Linked DNA regions of Arabidopsis thaliana. The protein of the gene in region 1 interacts with the protein of each later gene in a pairwise test. Each region holds a gene or a part of one and is shown in the gene's direction. Other genes may lie near its edges. The genes, in order: BETA-OHASE 2 and AT1G73920.

Region 1 (5,018 bases):
TAAAAAGCTAGTATCATGTAAGACTATGAATTCTGAATATTTTCTTTGTGACATAACTATGTAACGAGCCACCCAGTTCCATACGATAATAAACTCGGGTGAACCAAAAGTTTTCATGTTAGACCTCTCTAATGAGTAAGTAACAAGTGCTATAAAAGCCTGTCAATACATTGACACTGTGCATTCCTAAGCTACTTTCATACAGTAACCGAAACAGACTATAAAGACAGGTTATAAATAAGAATATCAATACAGAACAAAAAACTATCTCATATCAGACACAAACCTTGCAAGAAAAACATGCTGCTTCACCATGGCCAGAAACTCCCTGACTCCTCCATTGTAGAAGTACAGAGGTGGAAATGCAAGTCCTGCAGGTCATTTTAAACCATTAAGTCTGAATCATTCGACTTGTCGAGAAGGAAAAGGGAAACCCCCTCCCGTATAGTAATTCATTATATATATCTCACAAAAAGCAACAGCCAAAAGTTTTGCTTACCAGAAGACAGGACAACAATTACATACTGCCATCCGAGAGCAGGAGTGTGTCTCCTAATGGACCTCACTTCAGTAAACGGAACCGCGGTGATGGTATAAAGACTCCTGTCTAGAAAAGATATAGAAACTAAGAACAAAGGTAAAGCATTAATCTTCAATACTAACATATACTAATTCAGTTCAAGGAATCCTAAATACCTTTCTCTGATAGCTTTGCATTTGATGTTTGTCCCTTGTACGGAATCCACGACTAGCCATCATATATCAAAAAATGGAAACAAGTAAGTGAATGAATACAAAACTAATACAAACAAACAATCAATTTCAGTGATTGATTACCAGAAAGAGAACAGAGTCTTGCTTAGTCAACTTCAATCTACCACTAATCCTCTCAGATGCGAACTGTGTAGGATGAATTGCAACGTTATCTTTCAAATAAATCAATACAGCGTCTTCGTGTTCACTTTGTAAACTTCTCTTTCCGCTATCGCTACGCATCATACTAGCCGATCCCTAACAAAATCAAGAGCCATAGCAACACAATCAAACGATCAAGTCAAATAGATAATGGATTCAAATTCGCATTGGCGAAGATTTATTATCGGAAAATTACGATCGAATTGTTGAATCAAAATTGAGAAAGCACGAGAAGAAGGACAAAGTCAGAATAACAAACTTGTTGTTGAGAAGCGGCGTAATCGGCGTCGTCAGAGAGATCTTGTAGCTCCGTTGCTTCCATACTCATGGTGATTTCAGGAGAAGAGAGAGGTGATGAGAGAGATCAGATTACCCTGGAGACGAAGTAAGTAATTAGAGAGGAAGCTTACGCGTCGTTGAGAATATTCGATTACGTGTGTGTATCTTCATTAATTTTGCAGTTAAAAAGGTTTTAATTACAGGTCGGCGTTGTAACCGAACCGAACCGAACCAAGTTGTAATCGAATCGAATTTAGTCAACTTTATAATAATCCGAATAATACGAAATAAGTTTCTTTACTATAGTAGTAAAATGCGAATTTGGTGTAACAGAACCACATTAACCAGAATTTATCAGAAATGCATATTTTTAGTTGAGTAACATACTAATCAAACAGAGCAAATTAATATTTCCTTTTAGTTAAAACCAAAGCAAATTGATCTGTAACTTTAAACAATTAGTTTATGCTGCGGCTTTTTAGTAACTTTTCTGGGCTCTGATCACTCACATAGTCACATTCATATATTTCAGTCATAACTTTTGCTATTTTGTTTTGTTAGTAACTTGTCAAAACTACAAATCAAGCTGAAATCTGTTTTGAAAATGCATGGAAACAACTTGTGTAAATTAAACCACCTGTAGTTGTATACTTGAGATCCTTTTTAAGTCGCACAAGTTTAGAACGAGAACTAGAAGCTTCATGTCAAGCAATACCTCATTTACCTTTGAAGAGTGTCATCTGATGAAACAATATGAACAAATAAGGATTGGACATGTGGAAGTTGGTGATACTCCTCTTGCCTATTCGGTGGAAGAAGAGGCCACGTGGAGCCATTAAATAGAAGTGGAGTGATTCGCTGTCGATGACTTGGGAAAATCCTAGAAAATGGCCCATCAGGCCATCACCTCTCCTTACCTCAAATTCTAATAAACTCACTTTTTGTATTTGTTTATATGCTTGCTTTTGCGAAATGTTTTTCTTATTATAAACATTAACAATATTATTGTAATTGACTCAACATATAAAAAAAACAAAATGGTATAGTTTTTATATAATTTGTTTGTAAAAGAAAATAAAAATGTGGCCTCTCTCCATTTAGCTCTTCTCTCTGCAAAGCTTTACCACACAATAGTCTCCTTGTGTTTCTCTTTATATTTGTCTCTATAACTCTCTTTCGTTAAAGTTTCATAAAACCTCAACGAACTCCTTCCATGGCAGCAGGACTATCAACAATCGCCGTAACACTCAAACCACTCAACCGCTCTTCTTTCTCCGCAAACCACCCTATATCCACCGCAGTTTTCCCTCCATCTCTAAGATTCAACGGCTTCCGACGTCGAAAGATTCTCACCGTTTGTTTCGTCGTGGAAGAACGGAAACAAAGCTCTCCCATGGACGATGACAACAAACCAGAAAGCACGACAAGCTCTTCTGAGATCTTGATGACGTCGCGGCTTCTCAAGAAAGCGGAGAAGAAGAAATCAGAGAGGTTCACTTATTTAATAGCAGCTGTGATGTCGAGCTTTGGTATCACTTCTATGGCTATAATGGCTGTTTATTACCGATTTTCTTGGCAAATGAAGGTAAATTATAATAAATAAATAAATAACGAAAATTCAATACTATTTGTCCTAATTTCCAAAAGTGAAAAATTTGATTTTTTTTAGGGAGGTGAAGTGTCTGTGTTAGAGATGTTTGGTACATTTGCTCTTTCCGTTGGTGCTGCCGTAAGTTTCATTCCTACATTATATTCCCATTTTGGGGTGGGAAAATCCAAACCAAACCGAAATATGTCAATCTAATTCCGAACCAAATTTTATTTATAACTCAAACTAAATAAAATTCTATGCAAACAAACAGAATTAAACCACAAATTCATAAGAAATTTTATTTTTAACTAGACTTATCAAAATACATTTGTTTTCAGCCTATTTTCTAACATCCGAAAAAAACGAAGTTCAATAACCAGAACAAGTTAAACCGTAAAAAGCCAATGTCCATGCTTATTCCGATTCATTTATATTTTCGTATATTTGAATTTTAGGTTGGGATGGAGTTTTGGGCAAGATGGGCTCATAGAGCTCTTTGGCATGATTCTTTATGGAACATGCATGAGGTATTTCATTTTTTCTCATTATTCTGGTTTTTCTTTTCCGGTTTACTGCTAACAAATTAAGAATATTCATAGCCGGTTATTGGTTTGTGGCAGTCACATCACAAACCAAGAGAAGGAGCGTTTGAGTTAAACGATGTGTTTGCTATAACAAACGCGGTTCCTGCGATTGGTCTACTCTATTATGGATTCTTGAATAAAGGACTTGTTCCTGGTCTCTGCTTCGGTGCCGTAAGTCTTTTTTCTCTCTTTCGACAATATCCGAAACTTATAAAGAAAAGATCAAAAGTCTTTTGTTTTTCTATAAAGAGAGAAGCAATAGTAAATTGGTATTTGACTTCTTTAAATAAAGTCACGGAAACCGAAAGTATGAAAATTTTTTGTGGTTTTTTTTTTTCTTTTCACCGTCCCACAAAGAGTGTGAACGTGTGAGTTGGGTGAGACCTATCATCTAGTACCCGTCCAAACATGAAAGATTGGGTGTACTTAGACTAATGAAACCACTATACGAGTACTATCTGTTTCTTGTTTTTTGTGCTGACTGGTTTGTAATATCACCAGGGACTGGGAATAACGATGTTTGGAATGGCTTACATGTTCGTTCACGATGGACTTGTGCACAAGAGATTCCCTGTAGGTCCCATTGCCAACGTTCCTTACCTTCGAAAGGTCGCCGCCGCTCACCAGGTTTTAATACCATCGTTAACCAACGCTCTTAACGTTCTTCATTCCATATAGTTATTATTGATTTACAAAATTTTGCTAACGATTATGGCTTTATCTTTTTAGCTACACCACACAGACAAATTCAAAGGTGTACCATATGGGCTGTTTCTTGGACCAAAGGCAAGAATATATAACCCTTTTCAAAAATAAACATATGAGATATCAATTGATAATTTGCATGTTATTTTTGTTTAACACGTGAATTGATTTTTATTTTTTGTTTGCATATGGTTTGGATTGGATTTTGAGAATGGTGCAGGAAGTAGAAGAAGTGGGAGGAAAAGAAGAGTTGGAGAAAGAGATAAGCCGGAGAATCAAATTATACAACAAGGGTTCTTCTACCTCTTAATTGCTACAAACCCAATTTTACTTCTTTGATGTTTTTGTAATACATTTTGGGACTAGTCTTTCTTTTAGTATATATAAAAAATGACGTAGAAGAAAGAGTCAGGCTAATAAAGATTTAGAAAAACATAAAGAAACAATATATTCGGGTTTTGTTGAAAAACAAAGAAAAGGAAGTGTTTCGTTGGAAACAAAACGAAAGAAAGAATTAAGCTCTCCATTAGAAGGACAAATTAATGGATCATTTGGCATTCTCTTAAAAAAATAGCTAATTTGCTAATTGATCATATTGCCAAATAACACTTTTTAAAAAAGTGTCACATAAATGTGCAAAGATAACTTCAATCTTCAACAGAAAATTTGCCAGGTTGAGTTAACTTCTTTTCGAGTTGCTCCACTTTGTTGAATCTAAAACCTCTGATTCTTATTTCTTCTGGAACCGATGTGTCCTTGTAATCTACACTCTCCATGGTCCAACCATTGTTCTTTATCAAACCTCCAAGTTTTACCTGTTTTCACAATGTTAATATGATGATAATCAAAGAGATAACAATGGAATATGATAGCTTTCAAATACACATCACATACCTCTGCATCATCAATGGAATCTACAATAAGAGCACCGTCCAAGGAGAGAT
Region 2 (6,512 bases), on another chromosome or scaffold:
CAACAAAGTCGTTGTAGTATAGTGGTAAGTATTCCCGCCTGTCACGCGGGTGACCCGGGTTCGATCCCCGGCAACGGCGTATTTTTAATTTTTTCATATTTGTTTTTATTTTAGTCCCTTTGTTTTCAGTTTCTTTAGTTTTAGTCCCTCATATTTCAGGTTTGTTTGTTTTAGTCCTTCTCTTCTTTATATTCAACTTCCCAATCCGAGACAAAGTGAAATCACTTAAATAGTTTACTTTCCGGTTCCGTTCTTAAACCTTCCGACGAAGCTCCGGTAGAGAAAACCTCTCTTCACCTCTCCCATTCTCGGCAGCCATGTACGGTGGAGGTAGGTTTTATTTTCGTCCTCTCTAAAATCTCTCTCTGATTGTACAAATTCAGCATTACTTCTTTCCCTTTTCGCTTGAGCTCGTCTCGTAAAGGTGTAAACTTTTCCTTGGTGGGGTTTCTTATATATTGAACAGACGAAGTGTCAGCTATCGTAGTAGACTTAGGTTCTCACACTTGCAAAGCTGGTTACGCCGGAGAAGATGCCCCTAAAGCTGTTTTCCCTTCCGTAAGTCTCATTCTTTACTTCCTCTCTTTTCAATTGGTTAAAGTTAGGTCCTTTTAGTGTAGAGCAAGCAATTCGAGAAATTTAGGTTTTTTGTTGTTGCTGTTGTTGATGTGTTATATAACTTATAAGGTTGTTGGAGCGATAGATGGAAATGGAATGGATATTGATGATGCTGCAAACACCACGGAGGATGCAAAGGAGTCTGATAAAGAAAAAGGCAAAAGGAAGCTTTACACAGGATCTCAAGCTTTGAACTTTCGCCGCGATCAAATGGAGGTCAGTTTTCTTTATTAAACTTCAAAATGGTTAGGGATGAAGATAAATTTTCAGGTCTCTCTATTAGTTGACATTTGTCTGTTCCAGATATTGTCACCTACAAAGGATGGCATTGTAACTGATTGGGATATGGTGGACAATGTATGGGATCATGCTTTTAGGTAATTTGCAGAATCTGTTAGTTTTTGTCTTTAACTGTTTAATCTTTATCTTTTCCATTTATAGTTGATTGATGATTTCATCTGTGTAAATGTTTATTATTCAAGGAATTGTCTAATGATTGATCCCACGGAGCACCCAATGCTACTTGCAGAGCCTCCTCTGAACTCACAGCAGCAGAGAGAAAAGTCTGGTTTCTCTACCTTTTATCGATGCTGAGTTCATCTTGGATTAGGAACAGATTATTCTGGTGGAACATCATCAATGCAGTAATTGAAAGAACGCCTCGAGAAAGACTTGGTAGAAGTAAGGTAGTATACTGGCATCGTTAGGCTCATTCCAGCAAATGTGGTTCTCCAAGTCTGAGTAAGTAACACATTGGATTGCTCTCTAGATCTCGACTCACGTATAAACAGTGTCTTCTCATCGCTAGGGTTTGAGTCTTTTTGTGTACATGACAGGTATGCAGAGCATGGAGCTTCTTACATCCAGAGGAAATGCCCTTAAAAGCTGCTTGAGATCAAGATAACGAGAACCTTTGGAGACAGTCAGAGGGTTTAGGGATTAAGTAATTAGTATCTTTTCATTTATTTAGGCAAATATTAAACACTTTTTTATTATTATTATGAAGCTTTAGAAATAGCTTCGTATAATATAATGTTTCAACGTTAACATACAACAAATGTACTATTTTTCTAAGTGAAAACAACCACAAATGTACTTGTGTGTTTGCCTGTTTGGTAAATCCACCTTCTCCGTTATCCAAAAGTCGAATTTACGTGTCGTAGTTTTTGTCACATTCGTCATTATCCAATAACACATGTCCACGTGTCACCATTTTCTGGTCTCTGGACGGCAAGAATCGCCGACGTGCCCCTATTTAATCGGATTCTCCCATTTTTATTTTATTTTCGTCAGATTCTCTCCAATTTTGTTTTTTCTTTTTAGATTTTTGATTCTCGAATCGCGGCTCCTGTGGGTCTCTGTGTTTTCCTTATTTTGAGTTCGGATTAAATCTCGATCGCGATTTGGTCCAATATCTCCTAGCATCGAGAGATTTCTATTCTGGCTAAATTTTGTGTTTTCTCAGGTGGATAAGAAATTTTCTCTTTGTCGTTTTCCTCGATAATTTTCGGATTACGGCGACGAATCAGATTGTTTTTTGGTTTCAAATTTTCTGATATTTCCAAAAAAACAAAAAAATCTGATTTTTGAGAAAAAAGCAATGCAACGGATCGTGGACAACGCTCTCGCTGTAACCAAAGAGTGAGTCTTTTTTCTTATCGATCATCAGTGGATTCATCTGTGTATGCGCCTATAGTTGTTCTAATGTTTCATAAATGACAAGTAGAGATTTTTAAGTTTTTGATCGTTTGGTGATTATAGTAAGTCTCTTTGTTAATTAGTATTGGTAGATTGTGTTTTTGAGTTTTGTTAGACCATTTTATTCTAGTATCTTCATTCAAAGCTTCGTCTTTTAGAGTTGATGTTGGCTATGAACTTTGAGTCGGTGAAATGACTATTTCTTTTTTTTTGGTTCGTCTTTTTGTTAGATGTTCTTCTTTTCCCTTATGTTGTCTAACAAGCTTAAACTAAATAAGCTTTTTGATTATGTTTTGGCTTTTAGTGCAGATCAGTAAAAACTGTTACATATGAGTCTTTGAATAACATTGCGAGGTGCATAAATGGAGTATCAGCTCTTCTGTTGACCCTTCTCCCAGGGAAGGCTAATATTCTTGAAGGCTTACATGGCTGGGAACTCAGGCCTACGTTTCGTGGACCACGTTTACCACGGTGGATGCATAAGTAATAATTTCTCATGATTCTTCTGTTGTTAGTTTATTTGCAAGCCTTCAAAATATGCTAATTTTACTCTGTTTTTGATGGCAGTGGGGTCTCTTCTTTCAATGAGTTCATTCATGAGCTTTCTGTTGATTCTGATACTTCAAGCTTGGAGTATTCTTCTGGAGAAGATAGTGATGGTCCTTTGCCTCCATCACCATCATCTCAAAGCTCACGCCTCTCTTGGGCTAGCACTTCTGCAAGTTCTGAAAACCACTGGACAGAGTGGATTACGTTCATTCTTTGGTGGTTAATGTTTCCTGTACGGATCTTGCTATGGATACCACAATATATTATAAGTTTATTCTATAAACGAAGTTCAAGAATTCCTGCGAGCCCGAGAAGGCACCAACATTCATCTAGACCTCGTATTAGCAAGACCAACTCAAGCAAAGACCATGATGTTCCCAACCGAACTACTGATAGAAGACGTGGGGTTATTGAGGTTTGTGGATGCACGAACAAATATTCAATGTTACAATCATTTTTGTGATTTTAAACCTTTTGACAAACTCGTCCTACTTAATGTGCTTTATTTTTCAGGATCTTCATCTTGCTATCGAGATCGGCATAGAAGCAATATTTGATTTTTTTCACAAGGCTACGCATCTTCTTCTTTCTCCATCAGAAGCTTTTGCAATATTGTTATCATGGTTCTCATCTTCCAGTCGCAGCCCTAAAGAAAACCATGGTGAGGTTGCTTATGATGAAACTGTGCAGACTGCTACTTTAGGAGATACAGATCCATCCCCCACGGAAAGGCCCGTTGAAAGTCCCACACGTTTATACAACTCTATGAACACTGATACTCGAACGTGTCAAGATGTCATAACAGAGTTGGGGTAAAGGGGCAGATTCGATGTCTCATGCTTCCATTTTTTTTTTCTCTTTCTCAAGTAGTTGATATTTACTTGATTTCTCTCCTACTCTTGGTAGGTATCCTTACGAAGCTATTCGTGTTATTACATCTGACGGATATGTTCTTGTCTTGGAAAGGATACCAAGGTATAACTTTCTTGTTAGATATTAAGCTCGCTTGTGCATGCTTTCCATTCCTGTTACATTGTCTCTTAATGTGATCGTTGACTACTCTTGTCTTTGCAGACGTGATGCAAGGAAAGCTGTTTTTTTGCAGCATGGGGTTTTGGATTCTTCAATGGGGTAAGTTTCATGGTCTAGTTCTTAGATGACTCGTAAACTTTGGAAACTTAGTAAGCTGAAAAGTTGAGGAAGTATTATTTTCTATATCCATGTAGCATAACATTCCTAGGCGTTTCAATGTTCCTGACTCTTTACCCAAAAAAAAATTATTTTCATAATTTGTTCCCTTCAACTTTGCGTGTGTGTTTGATTTGCTCAAGACACAAAAATGGATTTGGGAAAATCTTTTGGTGCGATTAGGAGGGATACTGCTTTCAGTTACTTTAGTTATCTCATCTTCTTTTTTCCCTTTCCTTCTCTCCGATCCTTCTTAAAGATTTAGTTTTGACTTGGAACATCCTATAATCCTCTGATGTTTTGATCTAATATATGTCCTATGAAACATTATTGATTACTCTTTTTCTCTACTGCGTGTTTTTCTTCAGATGGGTATCTAATGGGGTTGTTGGATCTCCGGCTTTTGCTGCGTATGACCAAGGTTCAAGCCTCAAGTTTTTCATTTTCCAATCTTTTATTAATTCACATACGGCAACGATTTATCAGCTTCTTACACTCTTTTCCTTTACAGGCTATGATGTTTTTCTGGGTAACTTTCGGGGTTTAGTTTCAAGAGATCATGTGAACAAGAACATATCCTCAAAAGAGTGAGTTATTGCTTTAAAGTTCACTTCTTACTTAATCTACATGCACTGTCTGGTTTCTTTATGATAGTGGAGTTTCATCATATGTATATATTTGCAAGTTGTACAAATGTTCATTGTTATTGACCAAAATGCAGGTTCTGGCGATACTCCATTAACGAGCACGGTACTGAAGATATCCCAGCGATGATAGAAAAAATTCATGAAATAAAAACTACAGAACTCAAGCTCTGCCAGCCCAATATCGATGAAGAAATCAACCAGGAGGAGCCTTATAAGCTCTGTGCCATCTGTCACAGTCTAGGCGGTGCTGCAATTCTGATGTATGTTATTACTCGAAAAATCAAGGAGAAGCCACACAGACTCTCACGACTAATCCTACTTTCACCTGCTGGGTTTCATGAGGACTCGAACTTAGGTTTCACAATAGTTGAGTACATATTCCTTTTCATTAGTCCAGTTTTGGCTCGCATCGTGCCTGCCTTCTACATACCGACAAGATTCTTCAGAATGCTTCTGAACAAGTTAGCCCGTGACTTTCACAACTATCCTGCTCTTGGTGGATTGGTCCAAACTCTAATGAGTTATGTAGTTGGTGGAGACAGCTCGAATTGGGTCGGAGTCTTAGGATTGCCTCACTACAACATGAACGACATGCCAGCTGTCTCCTTCCGTGTGGCGCAACATCTTGCTCAGATCAAACACACCGGTAAATTCAGGATGTATGATTATGGAAGCAGATCAGCTAACATGGAGGTTTATGGCTCTCCTGAACCGCTTGATCTAGGGGAGTCTTACAAGTTCATCGATGTGCCTGTGGATTTAGTAGCGGGAAGGAACGACAAGGTGATCCGTTCCTCTATGGTGAAGAAACACTACAATGTGATGAGAGATGCCGAGGTCGATGTATCGTTTAATGAGTTTGAGTATGCTCACCTTGATTTCACATTCTCTCACCGTGAAGAGCTTTTGAGATATGTGATGTCGCGGCTTCTGCTTGTGAAACAGACACCAGTTCAACAGAGGCAGACCAGTCAGAAAGGTATGAAGTTGAAGAAGAAGAAAAAGGAGGGTACAGTAGTGTAGTAGCTGAAACCGATCTATGGCCAATGTTCAATGCCTCGTAGAGTTTGGTGTCTTTGTATTGTGATGTTGTGTGTAAGCTTCATGTGTGTGTTCTATGCCAGTATCCTATGGCTTGGCTATAATAGTGTACATATACCGTAAAGATTGATCCCTTGATGAAATGATCTTGTTGTGAGAGATGCTTTTTTCAGCCGTATGGTATATAATAATGTTTCTAGTGGTTTGGTTTCCATGAAAATGATATGATGTCATGAAAGATGCTATGAATCCAGAAAATTCCTCCTTTCCATTGGAAGATCTGAAGAGACCAATTAATCATATAGTTGGCGAATCTTTGCATACTTTGACATAGAACTTCTGTAGGTCATACAGTTTATTCATTTGTCGTAATAATATAAATCATAGTTACAGTTACATGTTTAATGGATCCAAGAAGGATAAATTTATCTGGTTATAGAGTTAAAAATACAGCAGTGATCAGTGATTTCGGTGTTGTGTGATTCTCATGTTTCAAAAGAAAAAACGAGTAAACAATTAGGGAAGATGAAGAATTTTTCTCTTTTTTCTTTGGTACAGTTCAAAGAATGAAACAGAAAAGGGAAGAAAAGAAATCAGAATCCTCATGGACGCCGTAGTGAAGAAGAGCATTCATTGGAGCTCTGATGGATCTTGAAGAAGAGATGCTCTTTGTGGATTTAAAAGCAGAAGTTGCTGCATGTCCTTTGGAAGCACACTGAACACCGCTTGTAGATCCTTCTTCAGTTTCTGAAACGTTCCTTCTGAATCTGC

Evidence for each region.
Region 2: the proteins of BETA-OHASE 2 (region 1) and AT1G73920 interact in a two-hybrid assay, tested with the Arabidopsis thaliana proteins (one large-scale study listed by BioGRID).

Annotation. Positions count from the first base shown.
Region 1 is NC_003076.8:21,334,277-21,339,294, reverse strand, and holds BETA-OHASE 2 (beta-carotene hydroxylase 2), read left to right. Parts: upstream 1-2,168; 5' UTR 2,169-2,407; coding exon 2,408-2,779; intron 2,780-2,863; coding exon 2,864-2,923; intron 2,924-3,240; coding exon 3,241-3,312; intron 3,313-3,405; coding exon 3,406-3,540; intron 3,541-3,870; coding exon 3,871-3,996; intron 3,997-4,098; coding exon 4,099-4,155; intron 4,156-4,294; coding exon 4,295-4,384; 3' UTR 4,385-4,502; downstream 4,503-5,018. Other genes in the region: AT5G52580 (RabGAP/TBC domain-containing protein), read right to left, coding at 287-371, 500-607, 697-748, 838-1,011, 1,175-1,243; USP (UDP-sugar pyrophosphorylase), read right to left, coding at 4,722-4,889, 4,969-5,018. UniProt on the Arabidopsis thaliana protein: Nonheme diiron monooxygenase involved in the biosynthesis of xanthophylls. Specific for beta-ring hydroxylations of beta-carotene. Also has a low activity toward the beta- and epsilon-rings of alpha-carotene.
Region 2 is NC_003070.9:27,788,976-27,795,487, forward strand, and holds AT1G73920 (alpha/beta-Hydrolases superfamily protein), read left to right. Parts: upstream 1-1,761; 5' UTR 1,762-2,218; coding exon 2,219-2,259; intron 2,260-2,620; exon of another isoform or gene 2,621-2,625; coding exon 2,626-2,799; intron 2,800-2,883; coding exon 2,884-3,280; intron 3,281-3,378; coding exon 3,379-3,677; intron 3,678-3,771; coding exon 3,772-3,840; intron 3,841-3,939; coding exon 3,940-3,996; intron 3,997-4,421; coding exon 4,422-4,474; intron 4,475-4,564; coding exon 4,565-4,640; intron 4,641-4,774; coding exon 4,775-5,723; 3' UTR 5,724-5,953; downstream 5,954-6,512. Other genes in the region: ARP4A (actin-related proteins 4A), read left to right, coding at 318-330, 467-558, 688-834, 922-995, 1,148-1,325; AT1G73930 (polarity axis stabilization protein), read right to left, coding at 6,372-6,512.